Linked DNA regions of Oreochromis niloticus. The protein of the gene in region 2 purifies or fractionates together with the protein of the main gene of each other region. This does not show direct contact. Links are inferred from orthologs where the notes say so. Each region holds a gene or a part of one and is shown on either strand. Other genes may lie near its edges.

Region 1 (10,542 bases), on a different chromosome or scaffold from region 2:
CAAATGATGGTCAAGCTGTCTAGAAAAATGAATACTACTATATCTGGAGAAATTGCAATATGATTGTAGCTAATGATGGTTTACAGTATGCTGGGTTTAAAAGGTGAAGGTATATAACGGTATAAGTTTATGAAGACACTGAAAAGTGGAAAGGCAGTTAGTCCAGATGACATACCTGTGGAGGTCATGGGGTGGTTGAGCCTCTAAATTGTTCACCACTTGTTAGAAAACACTTTGGAAAGATGTTCCTCCTCAGACACCTTTTCAGTTTTGTCACACAAAAACTTGTCTTTTTTTTCCTTGTGGGGTGAAAGCGTCTGTTTAACGGTCATAACGGTGTGTTAAACACCTCAACAAACATCACAAGAACAGTCATTTAGTTTAGTTTTTTTAATTGTAAAACAAAAAGTATTATAACATAATACCATCCATCACCCTCTTCAATAACAGCAATCAGTTTTGTGAGCATGCTGCACACATTAAACCTATTGACACTGGAGGTTACAGACCCCATAAGAGTTTATAGCAGGTGGGCTGCTGGCTTCAGCATGGAGGACAGCCCTCCTAGATCATTTCATTAATAACCTTGCGTAAGTAGCAAGTATTGACTGTTCCTCAGAAAACCTGAGGAATCTTAATGTACGTGTTAACTTTAATATTTTAACATAATTCATACAGGATAAGGCAAGAGACTCCACAGAACGAGTAATAAGACCTTCTCTGCCAAAGAAGTGACAACTGCTCCGCAACAGGTACAGTGTCTCTGAAACTGGTGTCCAGCCCAGTGTCCATCCTGCACGTGCTCCCCCTCAGTTCAGCTGTCTGATGATTACATTGATATCTGTGCCACGGTACCCTGGGTTTCCCAGGTCCTTCAGGAGCCCAGCTTTGTCTTTGATGGAGTGACGAGCCACTGACAGCCTGAACGGCAACAGGAAGTTATTGGCAGCTCGAAAGTTCTTCCCAACAGAGTAGATCTCATGAATCAGGTCCTCCAAGCAGATGATTCCTTGTTTACCTGTAGGCCGAGAAAAAGGAGCAGAGAAAGCTCATTAAAGCTGATTCCTGCAGAATCTGAACTCATATTTAGCAAACGTGAACAAAAAACAAACAAACAAAAAAAAACAGCTTGTATATTTATAATCACATATCACAGACTGTACCTAAAAGAGAGACGTAGCCGCTAGCTATAATATTTCATCCATAACATCTATATTTTGCAAAGTCTGATGACCATTAGAGTCAAAAGCAAAAAAAGGTTGTGTGTTTTATTGTTAGCACAATAAAAACAACATCTGCAAATAAAAACAATGAGCTGTGAGCAAAATGGGCCTGGCTTCAGGAAAGGGGAACTAATGAAAAATAAGCAACTTTCTACTGAGATGGGCAGGAACGAAACGAGTGAACAATTATCGTGATAAAAGGTTGTGGCTACACACTTTTTTAATTGCAAATCCAATTACATACAGCTGTTTGAAGGTATCATTAAAAAAACAAAACAAACAAACATTGTATTTCTCACATCCTTGCACGACAGTACTACAGACAGCCACTGTCGCTGGGTGAAATCAGTTACAAACATGGTGCTGCACCAAGAACCTTGTACTAATTGCTCCGGTTGCTAGGAGATTGCCATGGTTGCCAGTAATATCTCATGTTTGTTGGCAAATACTTCCCAATTCCAAGCAGGGCGGTAGTAAAATTTGAAAAAGTGGAATGCAAACCAGAAATAGAGATGGTTCACCTCAAAGTAACAGCTGTGTCTCAGTGTTACAGTAAACATGTTTCTAAGATGCAACTATTACTTTGAAGGTGAACCTTCTCCATTTCCAGAGCTGTTTCACTACAGCTCGGAGAGCAGCTAGACGCTGTTTGTAGACAAGTCCATCACTTCTATTCAAACTGCAATCAGAGCAATATGCTAGCAACCAAAGCAATCACAAGATCACAAGGAGATTTTTCCCAACTGGACCAAAAGTACATATTTTTATATAGAGACAGAGGTGGTTTCCAGGGAGTCACTGACCATCTGTAGGCATGTGTGACTGGGGCTTTAGCCATCATCCCCCCGGCAACTGCCATCAACCTCCAGCAACTACTCAAAACTGGTTGGGATATACTCATCTGGTGGTTACCAGATGGTCATGGACCTTTCTAATTATCACATGTGCTAGCAAGAAAGCTAACATTACATTGTTACTGATCATGAGTCTGCAAAACCTTGATACACACAACTATGTTTGTCTGCCCTTTAGAGGACATCATAGCCATTAGTACCTAATAGGATCAACTCGGCACGGTTTGCCACCTGCTCGCCCGGGGTTCCAAGCCATCTGAGCAGGTACTAAAATTTGATGTTGTCAGACTGCAAGGCACCCACTGGCTGGTCAGTGGCGTCACTCGATGAGTCCTGAGAGTGATTTTAATTCACGAAAATTAAAACTGCAATTTTTGAAACCCGGCATTGAGGGAAATGGCTACTAAAAACAATGCTTGTGTTCCCCTGAGTCTGACGAAAGGCCACAGATGGAGCAGCAGGTATATTCTTGACTCCAACTCCACCTTTTTTGTAGCTTTCGTGTCGCAGATTTATTACATCAACTTTAACAGTACTAGTCGGCATTCAAAAAAGGGAAAAAATAATTTAAGAAGTAAAAATAGAACCATGCATTTTATTTTACATAACACTTCAAAGAACGATGGAGTATGACAGAGGGAGAAAGAGAGGAAGAGAAAGAGGAAGGGATGAAAAGAGAGAGAAGGTGCACAGCTGAAATGAAGTGCACTGTGACTGCAGGTGAGTGGGGAGGGAGGCTGTAGTGTGAGTGACTCACCCATGTGCTCCTCGATGAAGGTGTTGTCTGTGAGGGGAACTCTCCTCCTGCCTATCCTGGTCTGACCTCTCTTCAGAATGAGCTCACGAACCGACTTCAGGTTGGGAAATCTGTCCAACACACAGCCCAGTATGTAGAGGATTGAACACAAATTCAAGCCAGCATTACCCTCCAAAGTACACGGTGTCTCACGCACTCACCCCCATGCCACATAAGGCTCCACCATCTTCATCATCGCGATGGAGGTCTTGTTAATTTTGACAAAGGTCCCGCTGAAGATCTTCCTCAGCCTCATCATCTGGATCACTTTCATCACTTTAGGACTGACGCCTTTAGTCCTAACAGGAGAGAACCAGTTGGGTTAAACAAACTGTCGGCCGGTTCTGGAAGCCTGTGTCTGCTTTCCAGTACTCACTGTCTAATGCGGACAGCGAAGGCAAGCTTGTTCTTGGCTGGTGGTAGAGGTTCAGCCGGTCTCTGTTTGACCCTTTGGATGCGGGTGTCATCCCGATGCTGCGTGTGGCTTTCCTTTAAGAAATCTTCCAAACGCTTGAACTTGATTTTCCCTTTAGTCACCTGCAGCATTACAGGAATACACACATGAATGCACAACAGTACATAAATTCCATACAGCCTTTAACTACAAAGTTAGTATATATTGTATTGTATATATGTAACAAGCATCAGTACTTACCCTTCTCTTCTCGAGCAGTGCGAGTTTCGCTTGCGTGGCTTTGATTGCCTGGTATGCCTTCCTCTTTTTCAGAAGATACTCTGGAACCAACTTGATTGCCTTTTTTGTCCTGAAGAGAACAAAAAGTAAGAGAAAGAAGCTTTGGACAAACTAAATCACCAGTGTGTGAATGTGTGCGTGAATGGGTGGATGACTGGATGTGTAAAGCGCTTTGGGGTCTTTAGGGACTAGTAAAGCGCTATACAAATACAGGCCATTTACCATTTACCATTTAAATAAATGCGGCTCAGTCACAAGATTGTGCTGTGGAGGAGAACTGGAGGCGTTGACTAGCTTCAGTTGCAACCCTAAAACTAAGGTTTTTCAGTGTTACCACAGTGGGTTACTTCTTACTGGGGTATCACAGGTATGATAGGTGTGTTAAGACTGCTTCTCCAAAAAAAAAAAAAAAAAAAAAAATTGTTTATGAGGACCTAGTTAGCCTGAGGTCCCAGGGATTTTCTTGCGTCCTTGTAATAGGACGGCCGGGAGAACAGGATTGTCTGACACAAATTCAAACAGCATGACCCAGAAATTTTAGGGGTCACGCCAAGTCGGGAGGCCGTGGGTATACTTATTCAGTTCGGAGCTACCTTCGGTTCACCGACGGTATACACTCCATGTGAAAGTAAGCTCCTCCAGATACGCCTTTTTCACCCATCATCTTTCTAAATAGACACCTTAATCGAATCTTTAAGACTCGTACTTAGCGGGAAAAGCATAAACAGCACAGCTACACATAGGAAACCGAACGGATGAACTTAGATACAATTATAAAATCAAACACATACTCTGATTCGGCCATCGTAGATTCTTCGTCGCGGACAAATGACGTCAGCAGACAGTACCTCGACCTGCCCCAGCGTTTCGGGTCGAGCCTTTCCATTCAGCGGTCCATGTTTGGGGGTGATGCCATCATGTGTAGATCTGACATTTTTAAGGTGATGCCACAAGATGCCGCGGTACATTGGGGGTGATGACGATGCCACGGCCGTCTGCACAGACATGCCTCAAAATACTAAGCTAAAGCGTCCATTCCATCATGCTAGTATCGATGCTATCGACGTTCGGATCGATCCGCCCATCTCTTACTCTTTTTCCAGGTTTAATTTTTGTAACCTGGCGTGTTGTGCCGCTGCAGATTGGTTGCAAGAACGAATGCAACCGCCTCCAAATGGGACAATCCCCACTAGGGTTTAAATTCCCGGGACTCTCCACCTTTTGTTTTTAGAACCTTTTAAGCCTGTTTCCTTCGTCAAGCTCTGTCTCAATGCTGCCATCACCTGGATGGCTGAGAACCCACACAGACATTTGTCTCACTTTGCATCTATGCAAATCTGACAGTAAAAGATTTGTTTTAACACCAAGCATGACCTAGGGTTACACAAATATTTTTATCAGGACCACTTAAGGTTTGCCTTCCTTGCATGAAAGTCTAAAATAAACTTATTTTGGATTTTCATATATTAATCGTTTGAGTTATTTAGTGAATGTGAATAAAGCATACACTGTTATTCAGCCATGCCTCCCTGTTCCCACACACCATGGCCATTTTGGTTTCAGTGTTTTATACACTGCTCAAAAAAGGATATCTATACTGATATGGACCGGGTAATGTGTTAGGAACAAAAGGATATCATGTGGAAATGAGAATGATTAACCTACATAGGTTGAATTCAAAGACGCCCTAAAAAGATGGTATTCTCCTTATATCGCCTTTAAAGAGACATACAGTACATCTTTCCAAATGCCTTGGAAATAATCAGTTTTCAGAAAATATTTTAAACTGTTCAGAAAAACTGCTTCAGACCTAGGACAAGACAGAGCTGTGGTGTAGGCATCCAAAACACGTGCTTTAAGATGCATTTTAGCACTACATGTCACATTTTCGGGCTCTAAACCCTATAAAGCTGCTATACTGTGGAAAGGTTGCACAAACACTCTAAGAAGGATGAACACTTCAAGTCATAAAATTAAATGAAAAGATGACACAAATTATTTTCCTAATTCTTTCACTGTAGCAAAGTCCATGAAATCACTTTTTTAAAAATATGGCATAAGTACAAAAGGCAGTCAGGATCTGTTCCCTGGCCTGAAGGCACAGGGAAACGACCCTATTGTGAAATGGCGAAAACTCCAAAATATAGGCATCAGGCCAAGGGGATACAAGGATACCCACCCCAGCCCACCACCTCTCAGCAAGGCCAACTTCAGACTGGAACAGAGTCCAGCCCCTCTCCGGGGGACTGGTTCCAGAGCCCAAGTCATGCGCTGAGTTGAGCTCGACTATAGTCAGTATAGCTCAACCTCACATACTAGCTCAGGCTCCTTCCCATTCAGAGAGGCGACGTTCCATATCCCAAGTACCATTCTGGGTAGCTGGGGATCTGTCTGGCAGAGCCACTGCCCTTGGTTGCTACCTGGCACAGATTGCAACAGACTCCTACTATGCCTCCTGGGGGTGATGGGTCTACAGTAGTAAAATATTTATTTATTCTGTATCAGGAGGTCTGCAGGATCTTAGCCCGGTCATTGTCAACCACCCTGTGGGGTATATCCCATTTTGTCCATGGGACTTTAGCCCATACTTAACATAGATGTTCCTGTATTTTATACACTTTGCCAGCCACTTGTATATGGTCTTCCATGTATGCCGTTCATGTTAGCATCTTGTACCCTGCTGTTATGTGCTGGACAGTCCCTGTACAGATAGAGTAACTATGGTAGCAGAGAGACTTACTGTGTCTCAAAGTGCCATCAAGAAGATGATAGAGGTTACTTTATTCTGTTCTGTATTAACTGTGGATCAATTAGTTCACCAAACCTTTTTATATAGGTTTTATTTATTTCAAAAGTGTAGTTTTTTAAGTTTGAATGAACTAAAATGAAAATAAAAACTAAATGTTTTTATTTAGTTTAATTCAACTATAATAACCTTGGCTCACACATTAAGACATACTTTTTTGTGTTCAAAACTCATGTGACTGTGTCAGCACTGTGATTTCCTTCAGTTTAATTTCTCCCTGATAATTGACTGAAATAACTGAACTGAACTACTTTTTGAATATGTGCAGTTTCAGGTCTGAGCGTATTGCTCCATCTAGTGAGCCATCTTAAGCATTGCTTAAAGTGACCTGAATACTGCTTAGTTTTTTTTTTTATAAAGTACAGCAACAACAGAGATATTCTGCACACATCAGTATCAGCTTTATTGGGTAAGTATGAGTATACATAAAAGGAACTGGGCTATATTTTTATATACATTCTAAACACATTTTTAATGACCATTTAATTTATTTAACAGCCACATCTTCTATCTGCCGGTAAAAGCTGTGCAGTGACCTGTCCTTCCACGATGATTCTTGTTCCTCTTCTTTCTCAGGGTTCTGCTGCTTATATATAAAAAGTCCCCTCTCGCCCCTGCAGGCAGTCTATCCTTCAAGCTGAGGGTTCTGTGCAGTATCTTTGCTGTTCCTAGGACCGTCCTCTTCTGGATATGCAGCATGCCTTAGTTTAGTAGCAGGTATACTGGATATGTTAGTAGAATGATCTAAATGTTCATCACAGTGAAGGCCTATGGAAGGAAACTGCACAGATGTCTGCTTGTTTTGATTCTCTGTAGTACCAGAATGAGTCAGTAACATTATTAATATTCTCTGGGGACTAGTTTGACTAGGTGGTAAAAAGAAGTAAAATGTAATTATTTATTTTGTAATTTATTTGCAATTGTGAATAATAATTTCAGTTCAGTAATCCTGCTTGGCGTTCTGCCTTCCTTTCTTTATTCTCCTCTGTCCAAGTCCAACAACACCTTCTCTCTGGCACTACTCAGAAAGTTGAATGCAGCTATAACCCGATCACGGAGGTCGTTCCTCTTTATTTATTTATTTATTTTCTTCAACAAAAGACACTTACTTACTTTGAAAAAATTCTACATTAAATTTACAAAGTTCTGCCCACTCTACAATGCTTTTGATTCAGATCAGCATCAGAATTTGCTTTGCTACATACACTGAATTAAATTATAAATATGAAATATAGAAAAATAAAAATAAGGTACTCCATTGAAGACACAACATGTTTTGAATATGTACTCCAAAGTTATGCTGTATACAATATAAACAAAATATGTGAAAGTGAAAATAGTGAAAATAGTCCAAGTGTCACAGGGAGAGTTTGAGGCTGAATGTGTTCCGACTATCCAGCGTGTCATGGAGAGGGTATGAAGGATTGTGTTATGGTGCGGGTGAGTGGCTGTTTTTCTATTAGCTCTGGGTTTCCACCTCTAGGTGGAGCCTCATCAGCCTTTAAGACCAGCGCTCTTAACAAATCTTTGCCAGAATGTCTGGTAACCTCTGATAGTGCTTGCCCAATTATGTTTCATGAGAATTCATTGTACTTCTTCTTCACTAACTTTGTTATCTCTTATGTCTCTACTATTCTCTGGATCATCTACTCACCTTCGCAGTATAGTCACGTTTTTCTGGATGCTGGTCATGTCTATTCACACCATCACACCATAGTTCACAGTTCATGCTCGATATTTCAAGTGTCACGTTTTCACAGCCTGTAAATAAAGTTTCACTATTGAGAAAGACTGTGCCTCTGGCTGAATCTGCATTTTGGGTCCACTCTCTCGCTCTGGCCATCCTGTTTTAACAGATTGCCCATAACTCGGACAGCTTCCACCTGTCTTACACTGCCATCACAGATGCCTTGAGATAACTTGAGATGCCTGTGCACCACTCTACAGACCAATTCTTAGGAGGAGTCATAGGGAGGTGATGAAAAGTTTGATGGTCACAGGTAAGAGTGGTTCTCTGAGCCAGTCAGAGGTGGGTAGAGTAGCCAAAAATTGTACTCAAGTAATAGTAGCACTACTTAAACATAGTTTTACTCAAGCAAAAGTAAAAAGTAGCCGTCTAAGAAATTACTCTAGTAAGAGTAAAAAAAGTATTTAGTAAAACGGCTACTTGAGTACTGAGTAACAGAGCATAACATCTGATTTAATGTTTAAAAATGAGATAATCAGACAAAGATATAAAGTCTAACTTCTGGTATTTGAAAGAATGAAAAATATACCCCCCCCCAAAAAAACAACCAACAACAAAAAAAAAAACTACATAGAATGATTACAAAATAATAAATCTAAGCAGAAGAAAGTTTTTCCAAATCAATATATACATATATAGGCAAGTGGCTCCAGCAGAGTGCAGTACTTAAATTTTTTTTTACTGCAAACCTTAGTCACCCAGTCTCACATGCATACTACTTTTTTCTATACCTTAACACCATGTCTTACATTCACACACACAGGAGCAACTCGGGGGTTTAGTGCCTTACCCAGAGATACTTCTATATGCAGACTGGAGGAGCAGGGAAGTGAATCACAGACCTTCTGATTGGTAGATGACCCACTCTGTTGCCTGAGCCATGGCTCTGTAAACTGGAATTGGGATTTTGGCATTATTTGACACATATTATTTAATGGAAAAATAATAGCAATATTAGCAACAACTACTTTTTCCACGAGGTGTTGTGTAAGTCAGTATCCATGCTGGAGTTGTACTGTGTTCACTAGGGCTGGGCCATATCATACTGTTCAAATTCAAATTCAAATTCAAATTTTATTTGTCACATACACAGTCATACACAATACGATATGCAGTGAAATGCTTACACAACTGCTCGTGACCTTAAGAAAAAAAGAAAAGAAAAGGCTATGAATAAGATAGGAAATAAATATGAAAATTAAAAAGGGTAAATTTAACTAGGAAGGAATAAAATAAAATATATATGAATTAGTTGAAAATAAAATAACTGTACAACACAAATTAGAATGAAGAGTAAATTTAACTGGGAAGAATAAGATAAAATATATATGAATTAAAGTTGAAAATAAAGTAACTGTACAACAAAATACACAATACACAATATACAAATATATAAGAATGTATGAAGAAATATAAATATATATACAATAACAGCAGCTGTACAAGTATTAAATGGAAATGAAGAAATATAATGTCCAGTGTTGTGCAAACCACATTGTAGGTGTCTTGTGCAGTGCAAATATGCTTAAAGTGATTAAGTGTAAACAAAGTCCAGACTGTCCAGTGTGTGTGTAAGAACCATATGTGTGGGTCCGTTCTATGTGGTGGTGTGATTGAGAGACCGTATCGCCTGCGGGAAGAAGCTCCTCCTCAGTCTCTCTGTGTTGGTCTTCAGGGAGCGGAATCGCTTTCCTGACCTCAACAGAGAGAACAGTCCGTTGTTGGGATGGCTGAGGTCCTTCATGATCTTCCTGGCCTTGGTACAGCACCGCCTGCTGTAGATTGAGTGCAGGTCAGGGAGCTCGGAGCGGATGGTGCGCTTAGCTGATCGCACAACCCTCTGTAGAGCTCGTCTGTCCTGCATGGTGCTGTTCCCGAACCAGGTTAAGATGTTTCCCGTCAGGATGCTCTCTATGGTGCACGAGTAAAAGTTCCTGAGCACCCTGGAGGGCAGTCGGAAGTCTCTCAAGCGTCTGAGGTGGTAGAGACGCTGTCGGGCCTTTTTCACTACAGTGTTGATGTGACAGGACCATGACAGGTCCTGCGTGATGTGAACTCCGAGGTGTTTGAAGCTGTCCACTCTCTCCACTGGGCACTCGTTGATGACGGGGGTCTGGTAGTTCCTCTTCTGCTTAGTACTGAAGTCCACTATCAACTCCTTTGTTTTTCTGATGTTTAGAAGGAGGTTGTTCCTCTGGCACCAGGTCTCCAGATTCCTAACCTCCTTCAAGTAGGCCGTCTCGTTGTTGTCAGAGATCAGGCCCACCACGACGGTGTCATCAGCAAACTTGATGATGGTGGTGGAGCTGGTAGTGGCCACACAGTCATATGTGTACAAAGAGTACAGCAGGGGGCTCAGAACACACCCCTGGGGGGCTCCAGTGCTGAGAGTGGTGGAGGCTGAGACATGTCCGCCCATCCT
Region 2 (10,206 bases):
AGCTCTGTTTTGTTTTTAAAATCCTTTAATAAAGGATTGGGAAAAGCCCCAAGTATTAAATGTATTAATGTTTAGGCTTGATGTTGTTGGAAATTTTAGGTAACTGATTTTGAAACTTCTGTCACAGAACAAAAAACAAGGATGCAACAACCCAGAGATCCTTGCTGTTTTGGGTCATGAGCTTGGCCACTGGAAACTTGGCCACACCGTCAAGAATATCGTCATTAGTCAGGTGATTTCTCCCAGATGGATGTCTTTTGTTTTATCCCAAAACATATAAAAGCCTGATTAGATCATACTACAGACATTCAGAAATTGAACTGAATCTATTTTTATCTCTTCAGATGAATTCCTTCCTGTGCTTCTCCTTATTTGCTGTCCTGATTGGACGTAAGGAGCTGTTTGTAGCTTTTGGCTTCGATGACAGCCAGCCCACATTAATAGGCTTGATGATTATCTTCCAGTTCATCTTTTCTCCTTACAACGAGGTATGTGTGAGATCATGAAAGCTTGAATAATTAAATCCTGTTGTTTTGAGATGTTTAAATATTTCTCTTCTTCCTCGCTTTTGTAGGTTCTGTCTTTCTGTCTGACGGTCCTGAGTCGCAGGTTTGAGTTCCAGGCAGATGCTTTTGCTCGCGCCATGGGCAAAGCCTCAGAGCTTTACTCAGCTCTCATCAAGCTGAACAAAGACAACCTGGGCTTCCCTGTGGCTGATTGGTTGTTTTCCATGTGGCACTATTCCCACCCTCCTCTCCTTGAGCGCCTCAGAGCACTGGGCAACACCAAGCAAGACTGACGGGGCCGGAAGGGGAGCGGCGACCGCTGCCTCCTCCGAAGGGCCTCCGCAGACCGCTCCTGGCCCTGTGATGCACCCTGGTCTTTTTCCTTCCCTTCTGACCCCATAAGCAAATTTTATCTTATTTTATCCTTTTCTTCACTTGCCATACTTTCTTTTTTTTTCTCTTCTTTGAAAGTTAGTTTTAAACAAAACCAAAACATATCAGCACAAGGCAAACATAAAAAAATCTAAGCCTGTACTGTTCTTTTTCTTTTATTCAGAAAAACCATTTACACACTTGCTGTGTGAGATAGATCTGGACAACGTGTAAAGAAAAAGGCAATTGTCAGAGCACATATCAGATTTCTCAGATTGTACTCATAGATTTGTTTTTAGAAATCCTTTTATTTTTGTACAATTCATTCAGTACTTTGTTCTTTTTCCCTTCTAAGTATGAAGCTCAAAATGAAATTGACAAGTTATTTGGCTGTTAAATGTTAATTTTTTTTAAAATATTAATTTAAGATGATTAGTCATACATTATATTCAGTCGTTACAATGCTTTTTACAGATGCACGGGCCAGATTGATATGTACAGCAAGTGCAACATTTATTGTCAAGTTCAAGTGAATATTCATGAATCTATTCATCAATTCAGTGCTTTTTTTTTTTTTTTTTTTTTTAATTTAAAGAGAAACTCTGTAGATTCTTTGTCACAGTGACAAAATACGAGTGCCTCTAATTCTCCTCTTTGTACCCATAATGAACACCTAGTGAACAGAGCGGTGCGAAATGTTTCTTTTGAAGATTACAGTAGATGCGATATTTTTGTTTTTTTTACATGCAATGAGGGGCTGCTGTTTTAATTTTCTTAAGCACCTGCTTGTCATGAAGGGTCCAACCATACCTGTACATATGTAACTTTGGTGATTAGAGTAATGATATATGAAGTGAATTGTTGAAAAAAAAATGTTGAATGTGATTTGAATTTTTAAGTTGATGTAGAGTTTCATAGTTTTTGTTTTGTTTTTCTCTTTGTTTCATGCCAGCGATACCTGGTAAGCAAAGTATTTATAGGGGACTTCTGGGAGGGAGATGGCAAGATTTCACCACGTGAGCCAGAGTTTGGTTTGCTCAGAGAGGGGGTGTATGCTTTCTTTGCAGTGTTGAATAAAATCCTCTAAGCATTTATCTTATTTGGGGTGCTTGTTTTACTTTTTAAAAATATTGTGAACATCACACAAAAGATAAGTTTATTTTCATCCTGCAATGACTTTTTAAATATATTTTTAATGTTATATTTTAAATAAACACACACAAAATGTTCACTGGCCACTTAATTAGGCACACCTTCCTAGTACCTGGTTGGACCAGTTTATGCCTTCAGAACTGCCTTAATTCATATAGATGGATTCTCTATATGAATTGAGGCATTTTACACCATATCTGTAATGCATAGATTCAACAAAATGCTGGAAACATTCCAGAGAGTTTGACTTCATAGTTACATAATGGCTTCACACAGTTGCTGGACATCTATGAAGCAAATCTCTTGTTCCACCACATCCCAAAGGTGCTTTATTGGATTGAAACCTGGAGACTGTGGAGGTCATGTGAGCCTGTGGGAATTGTAGCTTCAGTTTCTTTAGCTAACAGGAGTGGCACCTGGTGTGGTTTTCTGCTGTTGTAGCACTTCTGGTTCACGGTTTGACATGTACATTCATGATATTTGATTTGCCTTCCTACAATCTCTGTAAACTCTAGAGATGGTTGTGTGGGAAACTCCCAGTGGATCAGCAGGTTTTTGAAGTACTTACAAAAACCATGCTATGATCAAAGTTAATTAAATACCCTTTCTTCCCCATCCTGATGCTCAGCTTAAAAATAAATCGATGTTTTATAAACTTATCTTTTTAGATAAAATCTCATATTTAAATTAAAAAAATTACTGTGTACTAAAATATATATAAAAAAAATTGCAATCCATAAGTTATTTAAGCTATGTAAAAAAGTAGAAATAACCATTGTTATTGTTGATTTTGTTTTTGTTTAAAAAACACTTTAAACCACTTTTGTTCAGTGGATATGGATGTATATAGTATTTAAATTAATTAAAAAATACATTAAAAAATCACACATCATGTTGCGTTATTGGTATGTAGCATAACAAAAATTATAAGGTCAGATGCTACGTAAAGAACGTATAACACCGCGGTATCCATTTTTAAGACCATACCACTGCGGGAATCAAATACTGTGTTTTTCCTGCATTACGTTATTGTTCCATGTTATGTATACGAAATATATTTAGCAGAAAAATTTAAATAATCCATCATCGTATGAATAGATTTTTTAAATGTATCATCTAATTGAACTAACGTATCTCCTGTTGGCACCCCCGCCTTGGACATAATGGCGCCGTCCTGTGGTGTATTTTTGTGGACAAGGACAAGCTCGACACTACTTGTCAGTGGTGTTTTCACAAACATGGCGAGGTTTTTGAGGCCTAATATCAGGACTTTTGTCACCTCACAGCTGAGAATGTCATCCGACCAGGTAATAAACGTCCTGCAACCGCCTCACTTCATTACAAACACCGTGTAACCGTTATACAGCGCTTTGACTTGTTTAGCCTCATCATTTTTGCTAGCTGAAAACCTTAATGACAGGATCACCTGCTGTAGCACTGTGGTATTAGCTTTCTAATTGAACATTATTACCTAATGATTATAGGTTATATATGCCAAGGGGGTTCATTTTGTATGTACTGCCACCTGTCAGACTATTCAGAAAAATAATTTGGTTTTGTGAGCTGCTTTGTTCTCTCAGACGTTTAGGTTTTGCTCAAAAAGGATTTCTGGTCTGTTCTAGATATCTCCATTATCACCTTGGAAACAAAGAAGCCTTTAAACCCACTCAAAAAATATAAAACCTTGACCTTCAACATGGTCTTGTTTTCACAGCGTCCAGCAGATTCACCTTAATATCACACTGAAAGCCCTGATCACTAAAGTTGAGAAAGAAAGTAACTTTAAAAAATGTTAAATTTCGAGCTGCCATCTGTTAAAGAAATGTCTTTATAGAAAGTACTCAGAGCTCTATTTTTTGTTTATGCATTTATTATTGGGTTTGGGGGTTTGTTTGTTTTTTGCTTGTTGCTGAGTTAATTCACTAAACTTGTTTTCTCTTAAATACTTCCCCACCCACTCAGCTGGGTGAGCTGGGTAAAGGTGCCGGGAAAGGTGGTGGTGGTGGAGGCTCTATCAGAGAGGCAGGTGGAGCCATGGGGAAGAAGCAGGCTGCAGAGGAGGAGATGTACTTCAAGTATGGAATTCAACTTATAAAGACAGTTTTTTGTCCACTTTTTCCACCTCTTCTACATGTAAATAAGCCTGTGTGATATCTGTCTTTCTTCATATAAGGCGCAAGGAGAAGGAGCAGCTGGCAGCACTAAAGCAGCACCATGAGGACGAAATTGATCACCACAAAAAGGAGATTGAACGTCTCCAGCGCGAAATTGACCGCCACAAGGGAAAGATCAGAAAGCTGAAGCATGACGACTGAGTGAAGCCTTTAAAATAAAACAAAAGTTTTGTTTTTTTTCTCCCCACTGTCCAAGACTCCTTTAGTAACCACACTAGTTTCTGCGTGCACTGTGTTATGCCAGTCATGAATGTTTGAGTGATGGTACTTATGTAAATTGTTGAAAGGTATTAAAATTGATTAAAAAAAATGAGTACGGGTTCCATGGCATGCTCTGCAAGAACATTTTCCTCTGTGATGCTGTTCATTGGTGTGCCGTATGTCACAGGCAGAATGCCAAAGTAAAAAATACTAAATATAATCTGTGCTTCATGCTGCTGTTTTATTTCAGTGAACAGTTGATATCTTTTGTGAACTTGTGAGCAACATTGTTTTCAATGAGCAACAATAGGCAGCAAATCAAGTGATAAAATTGACTAAGCTGCAACCAGCACACCTTTAATGTAAAATAAAAAATGGTAAAAAAGGTAATTAAAGTTATCTGGCAGCACAAATATGTGACCTGTTCAATATGTGTTTCAAACTGCTCCTTAAAGCCATCTTGATCTAAAGTAAGGTCATATAAATTTCATACTATTAAGATCTAAAAAAGTATTTAACACCTGCTATGATTTCTTATTTGTTTGTTTGCTTTTTGCATATTTGTAAGATCATAAAACAAATTTTAATATTAGACAAAGATAACAGGAGTAAATGCAGGTTTTACCCCTCATCTGAAAAAGGCAGATGGGGTATTTTCACCCCACCAGGTGGGTGGGTGGGTGGTCGGGGTTTGTGGATGTCTAAGTTTGAGAATGCAAGAATTAGATAATGTGGGAGCTTTTAATTGATACCATAAATGTCTGTGACCTACACCTCAGAGTCAAGTTCATAGGTCATGTTTTCCGAAGATCCTGTGAATGTGATAACTCAAGAAGGAAATTACCTAGGATATTCTAATTGATATCATAGGTAGATCTACTGAAATTCTCGGTTAAATATTCTGCAAATCTTGTGATTGCTTTAACTTGAGAATAGGCAGCGTAGGATTTTGAAATTGAAGCTCTGGTGGTCACCAGTATTTTTCAAATGAGGATTTCATTTATTAAGGAAAAAAGGTTCACCTAAAAATTGATTGTGCCACCTCTGGCAGCAAGAACTCAAAACAAGTGGTTGCAAGGAATTAGTTTTTCCACAGTGGAAGAATTTAGTCTCATTCTTTTTTACAGAATTGTTTTAATTCAGCCACATTGAAGAGTTTTCAAGCTTGACTTTAACTAGGCCACTACAAAACCTTTTCTTATTTTTTTTTGTCCCTCCCCCTTTAGAAGTGCACACTGGTGCATTTTGGATCATTGCCCTGTTGCCTAACCTAAGTGTGCTTGAGCTTCAGGGCACAAACTGATGGGGGAACATTTTCATTCAGCATTTTTTGGTAGAGAGAAGAATTACAACAAGTTGTCCAGGTCCTGAAGCAGCAAAGCAAAACTGCTAACCCTATAATACATAATAGTATACATAATTTATAATGCTGAACTTAATAAGTCCAACGGTGGCGCTATTTCTTTCATAGCCTGTGAGCCACGAGAAAGAAGCTGTCGTCACTTCCGCCCACCCCTGCCTTTTACCACGAGCAACCCCGTTTGTCTTTCTTTTCGCACATCATGGCGGACCGGTTCAATAAGGTGGGAAGCTGCTCTGGAGATATTATATCATTTTTCTGCTCTATAGGCAAAATAAAACCTTATGTTTTGCAGTTAAGCGAATAGCGATAACTTGGGACAGCTTTGTGTAGTCGTTGTTTTGCTCAGTGTTTTTTTTCTGAGACATATTTTTAGGGAATGTCTGAGGCAGCTCGCTATAGCCGAGTGAGCGTGCCTTCATCATGGCAGCTTCCCTGAGTCAACGCTGTTAGCTTGCGAAGCTAGGTTTAACGTGTGTACTGGATGTATGGTAGTATGGGAAACGTACCGGCAAACTTAAATAAATAAAATGGGTGATTTTTCGTTGCTTCTATGTAGGGAACCTTTCATGACACTTCAGCTAAAAAAAACCCAAGATTAATCGTCAGCGCGTTTTGGGTTAGATGCTAAGCTAACGTTATGGCTCAACCGGCAAGTCAATAGTGTCCCATGTGCCATTTATCACAGTGACGTGGAGGCAGAAATACAGTTAAGTTCGCAGTAAACCCCTTCAATAAACAGTGATGGGGTTAAATGTGTGTTTATTACCGTTTAACTTTTATGTTAGTGCAAGGCAAGGTAAAGCTGACAATGTGACGATTGTCAGGTTAGATGTTAAAAGCAAGTTGATTAACATTACCATACAAGATTATAGTGAATTACTGGGATGTTTTTTCATGGTGAAGATAAAGCATTGATATCCTTTTTTCCCCCCTTTATTTTAGGTTCTGCTGCTTGATGGCAGGGGCCATCTGCTCGGCCGACTTGCTGCCATTGTGGCTAAACAGGTTCTTCTGGGTAAGTTTTAAGAGAATAATGAGAGTTTTTGGTAATAAACAATATAACTTGAGTTTGGTACACACTGTGCGATTTTTGGACTGTCCTAGTCAAGATGTTCGAATTTAGCTGTTGTATCACGCTACATGCATGGACTCCTTGGAGCAACATCCTGACAGTGTCAGAAATTTTGTAGCAGTATCTCATAATGGGACTGCTGCTGTACCTGCTAACCATTCAGTAGGAATGCAGTGCAAACTAACCTGAAATAGCTGAGCCATTGTGGGGTCCCATTGGAGGTAAAATGTGCAAAATAAGGTGATTTGGATTGCAACACATAGTCTAGTCCCTTTTATACACCTGAACTGTGGACAGTGTCAGTAGTATTGTTTCTGGAAATACTCATGACATGATGTCCACTTGCTCTGGGAATTCTCTAGTTACTGGCTCTCTTGTTACATGGCATCAGTTGGGGATTATACGGTTATTTGAGCACTAGAAGGATGAGTATTTGATTTCCAGTCCAACAAATTTTATATTTGTGTCCTCATGTTTAGTTCAGCTGGGTAATGTCTAAAAAAACAAAAAACCGCTTGCAGTTTGTGAAAAATGACTGTTTGTGCAAAAGGCCTGCAGAGAGCATTGCATGCTCTTTCTACACATGCGTAGGGTGTAAATTGTAATGCAAATTCTCCAGATGCAGTCACACAAAACATGCAGAGACACAGATGGCTACAAAGACCGACCTATCCTACGATGAAACTCTACCGTTAACTTCCAGACTTGTCAGATCCATGTCGCACAGTGTGTTTTGCAGCATGTAAGACTGATGAACAGTGTGTTCAAAGTTGGCAAATGTTGTGTCATTCTGTCGATGATGACTGTATTAACTGCCTTGGTTGAGTTTAACGACAATGAGAAAACTCACATGCACTACCATCTGAGACAGGAAACAAACAAACAGTATCTGCACCTGTTTGCTGTTCTCTTTAACTTTTGGGATTTAACTGTTGGCATTTTGTCTTTTAGGCCACAAAGTGGTGGTGGTGAGATGTGAAGGCATCAACATCTCTGGCAACTTCTACCGTAACAAGCGTAAGTAGGGTTATGTCCTATTTTCATTCCTTTAAAATGCTTGTTGTCGGTGATGTTTTACTAGTTTGAGTTTCACAGACCATGAGAAAACCTTACATGCACTACCATCTGAGGCATCAGCATTACTTAATAAAGTAATGCTAGCCCCTTGCATGTATCTTGATGTATGTGTAATGTGGCATGTGCCTGTCTGCAGTGAAGTACCTGGCTTTCCTGCGCAAGAGGATGAACACCAACCCCTCTCGTGGTCCGTACCACTTCAGGGCTCCCAGCAAGATCTTCTGGAGGACCGTTAGAGGTGAGAAAGTGACACCACCAGCACATGAAGTGGTCTATTTGCATTCATCTATGATACTTACTTAGCACAGTAAAGCTGTTTATAGCAAAGCTAATAATCTATTGATGAAGCAGACTTCAGACATCTGACTTTTTTTTTTTCAGTTTAGCATATGTTGAAATGGCTACTGAGTTTTATGTTTTTTTTTAAAAGGATAATCTCTCTTTAAACAGGTATGCTGCCTCACAAAACCAAGAGAGGTCAGGCTGCTCTGGAGAGGCTGAAGGTGTTTGATGGTATCCCCCCACCCTATGACAAGGTATGCTGATAATTTCTTAATCTTTATGGCCCCCACAAGTGGCTTTGACTGTGCTGTCTGTGATGCCATGCATCTTAACTGCCTTGTCTGAATAGTAACCATGAAAAGAAATGATGTCTGAGACATGCTGCCTATAACAGTTCAGATGTGCTGTTGTCTTCGTTATCTGATTTTGCTTTATTTGATTTGCAGAGGAAGCGCATGGTTGTCCCAGCTGCTCTTAAAGTTGTGCGTCTGAAGCCCTCTCGCAAGGTGAGCCTACAATGTTTGTTTTTTTTTTTTTTTTTTTGTTAAGGACAGAAAATGAAGGGTGACAATAAGGTCATTTACTATTATTCAGCTGTAAATTTTGAATTGGGCAGGCACAACCATTTAGTTTGTGTAACATTGTTCTCTTCAGTTTGTGAACTGTTGATTTTATATGGTTTTTCATTTCTCCCTCAGTTCGCCCTCCTTGGGCGTCTGGCACATGAGGTTGGCTGGAAGTACCAGGCTATCACAGCCACTCTGGAGGAGAAGAGAAAGGAGAAGTCTAAGCTCCGCTACACCAAGAAAAAGACACTGATCAATCTGACCAAGAAGGCAGAAAAGAACGTCGAGTCCAAGATTGCAAAATACACAGATGTTCTGAAACAATATGGAGTTATTGTCTGAGCTAAACTCATCTGGCCAATAAAGATGAATAAATGTTTATAAAATGTGTCATGACTATTTTATTTCTCATTAAAATAAACTGCATTTACTACAACATGAATATATGTTTAAGAGTTGCATTTGTAGCTATCACAAGAAGGTAGCATTTGTGTATTCATGGTTATATTGACTTGGTATTTGAAAAGTATCACTCAGACTTTCAAAAGGTGCCAGGAAAAGCACATTGGAGTTGCGTATTTTCCTTACATGGTTTCGCGTAATGTGTAAAATCAAAATGTATGACAGGGTTAGAAAACATAACTGGATATTTGGAGTTAGTATTACACTCTTATTTTATTTTCACAAAATGCCATCTGACTCATCAGTTTTTGAATTGTATAACAATTTGCTGCAGCTGTAGAGTTTGATAAAACTGACAAAAATAAGGCTATGTCCACACGTACCCGGGTATTTTTGAAAACGGAGATTTTCCGTTTTCGTTTTAAAAAATAATCCCGTCCACACGTAAAGGCAGAAATGAAGGAAAACGCTGCTAGGAACATGCCAAAGCAGCAGGTGGCGCTATATTCCTAACCGTGTAGAAATGTTGGCCAATCAGAAGTCTAGAAGCCTCGGTGGGAAAAAGTAAACAAAGATGGGGCATAGAAGCAGAACCGAGTCGTGTATATGAAGGGACAGTAACTGTGTGTGTATATGTAAGCATTTAAACACTGCAGAGAGTACAATTAACAGTAACAGTATTGTAGAAATTCATTTCACCGAAACAACAACGTGGCGCACACTGTGACGTCAAAAAAGGCGCACACCTTTGACACTGCGTTTTCTCCGTTTTTCTCGTCCACACGTAAATGCAAAAACGGAGTTTTAGAAAATATCCACCCTGGCCGGAGTTTTTAGAAATCTCCGTTTTCAGTGACCGAAAACGCCGTTTACGTGTGGACGAAAGGTGCAAACGCATAGAAAAATCTGCGTTTTCAAAAATACCCGGGTACGTGTGGACATAGCCTAAAATTTATACATGTGGGAACGTCTTATTGCAACCAAGCTTAACTACCAGCAGAGGGCAGTGTTGTACTGCCACACTTCCAAGCGTCACAGT

The links. Proteins that work in one complex are often made in the same cells at the same time.
Region 1: the proteins of rpl13a (region 2) and rpl7l1 purify together in Homo sapiens (affinity purification with mass spectrometry; 3 studies listed by BioGRID and IntAct, with this or other methods). This does not show direct contact. The link is inferred for Oreochromis niloticus from reciprocal best matches to the Homo sapiens genes RPL13A and RPL7L1.

What each region holds. Positions count from the first base shown.
Region 1 is NC_031980.2:27,060,223-27,070,764, forward strand, and holds rpl7l1 (60S ribosomal protein L7-like 1), read right to left. Parts: upstream 4,783-10,542; 5' UTR 4,454-4,782; coding exon 4,359-4,453; intron 3,638-4,358; coding exon 3,529-3,637; intron 3,411-3,528; coding exon 3,250-3,410; intron 3,173-3,249; coding exon 3,035-3,172; intron 2,945-3,034; coding exon 2,835-2,944; intron 1,019-2,834; coding exon 810-1,018; 3' UTR 376-809; downstream 1-375.
Region 2 is NC_031983.2:13,761,996-13,772,201, forward strand, and holds rpl13a (large ribosomal subunit protein uL13), read left to right. Parts: upstream 1-5,864; 5' UTR 5,865-5,967; coding exon 5,968-5,988; intron 5,989-6,710; coding exon 6,711-6,783; intron 6,784-7,629; exon of another isoform or gene 7,630-7,712; intron 7,713-7,791; coding exon 7,792-7,857; intron 7,858-7,899; exon of another isoform or gene 7,900-7,975; intron 7,976-8,053; coding exon 8,054-8,155; intron 8,156-8,367; coding exon 8,368-8,453; intron 8,454-8,645; coding exon 8,646-8,705; intron 8,706-8,897; coding exon 8,898-9,107; 3' UTR 9,108-9,155; downstream 9,156-10,206. Other genes in the region: zmpste24 (CAAX prenyl protease 1 homolog), read left to right, coding at 128-232, 345-488, 575-799; atp5if1b (ATPase inhibitor B, mitochondrial), read left to right, coding at 3,194-3,337, 3,993-4,105, 4,204-4,345. UniProt on the Homo sapiens protein: Associated with ribosomes but is not required for canonical ribosome function and has extra-ribosomal functions.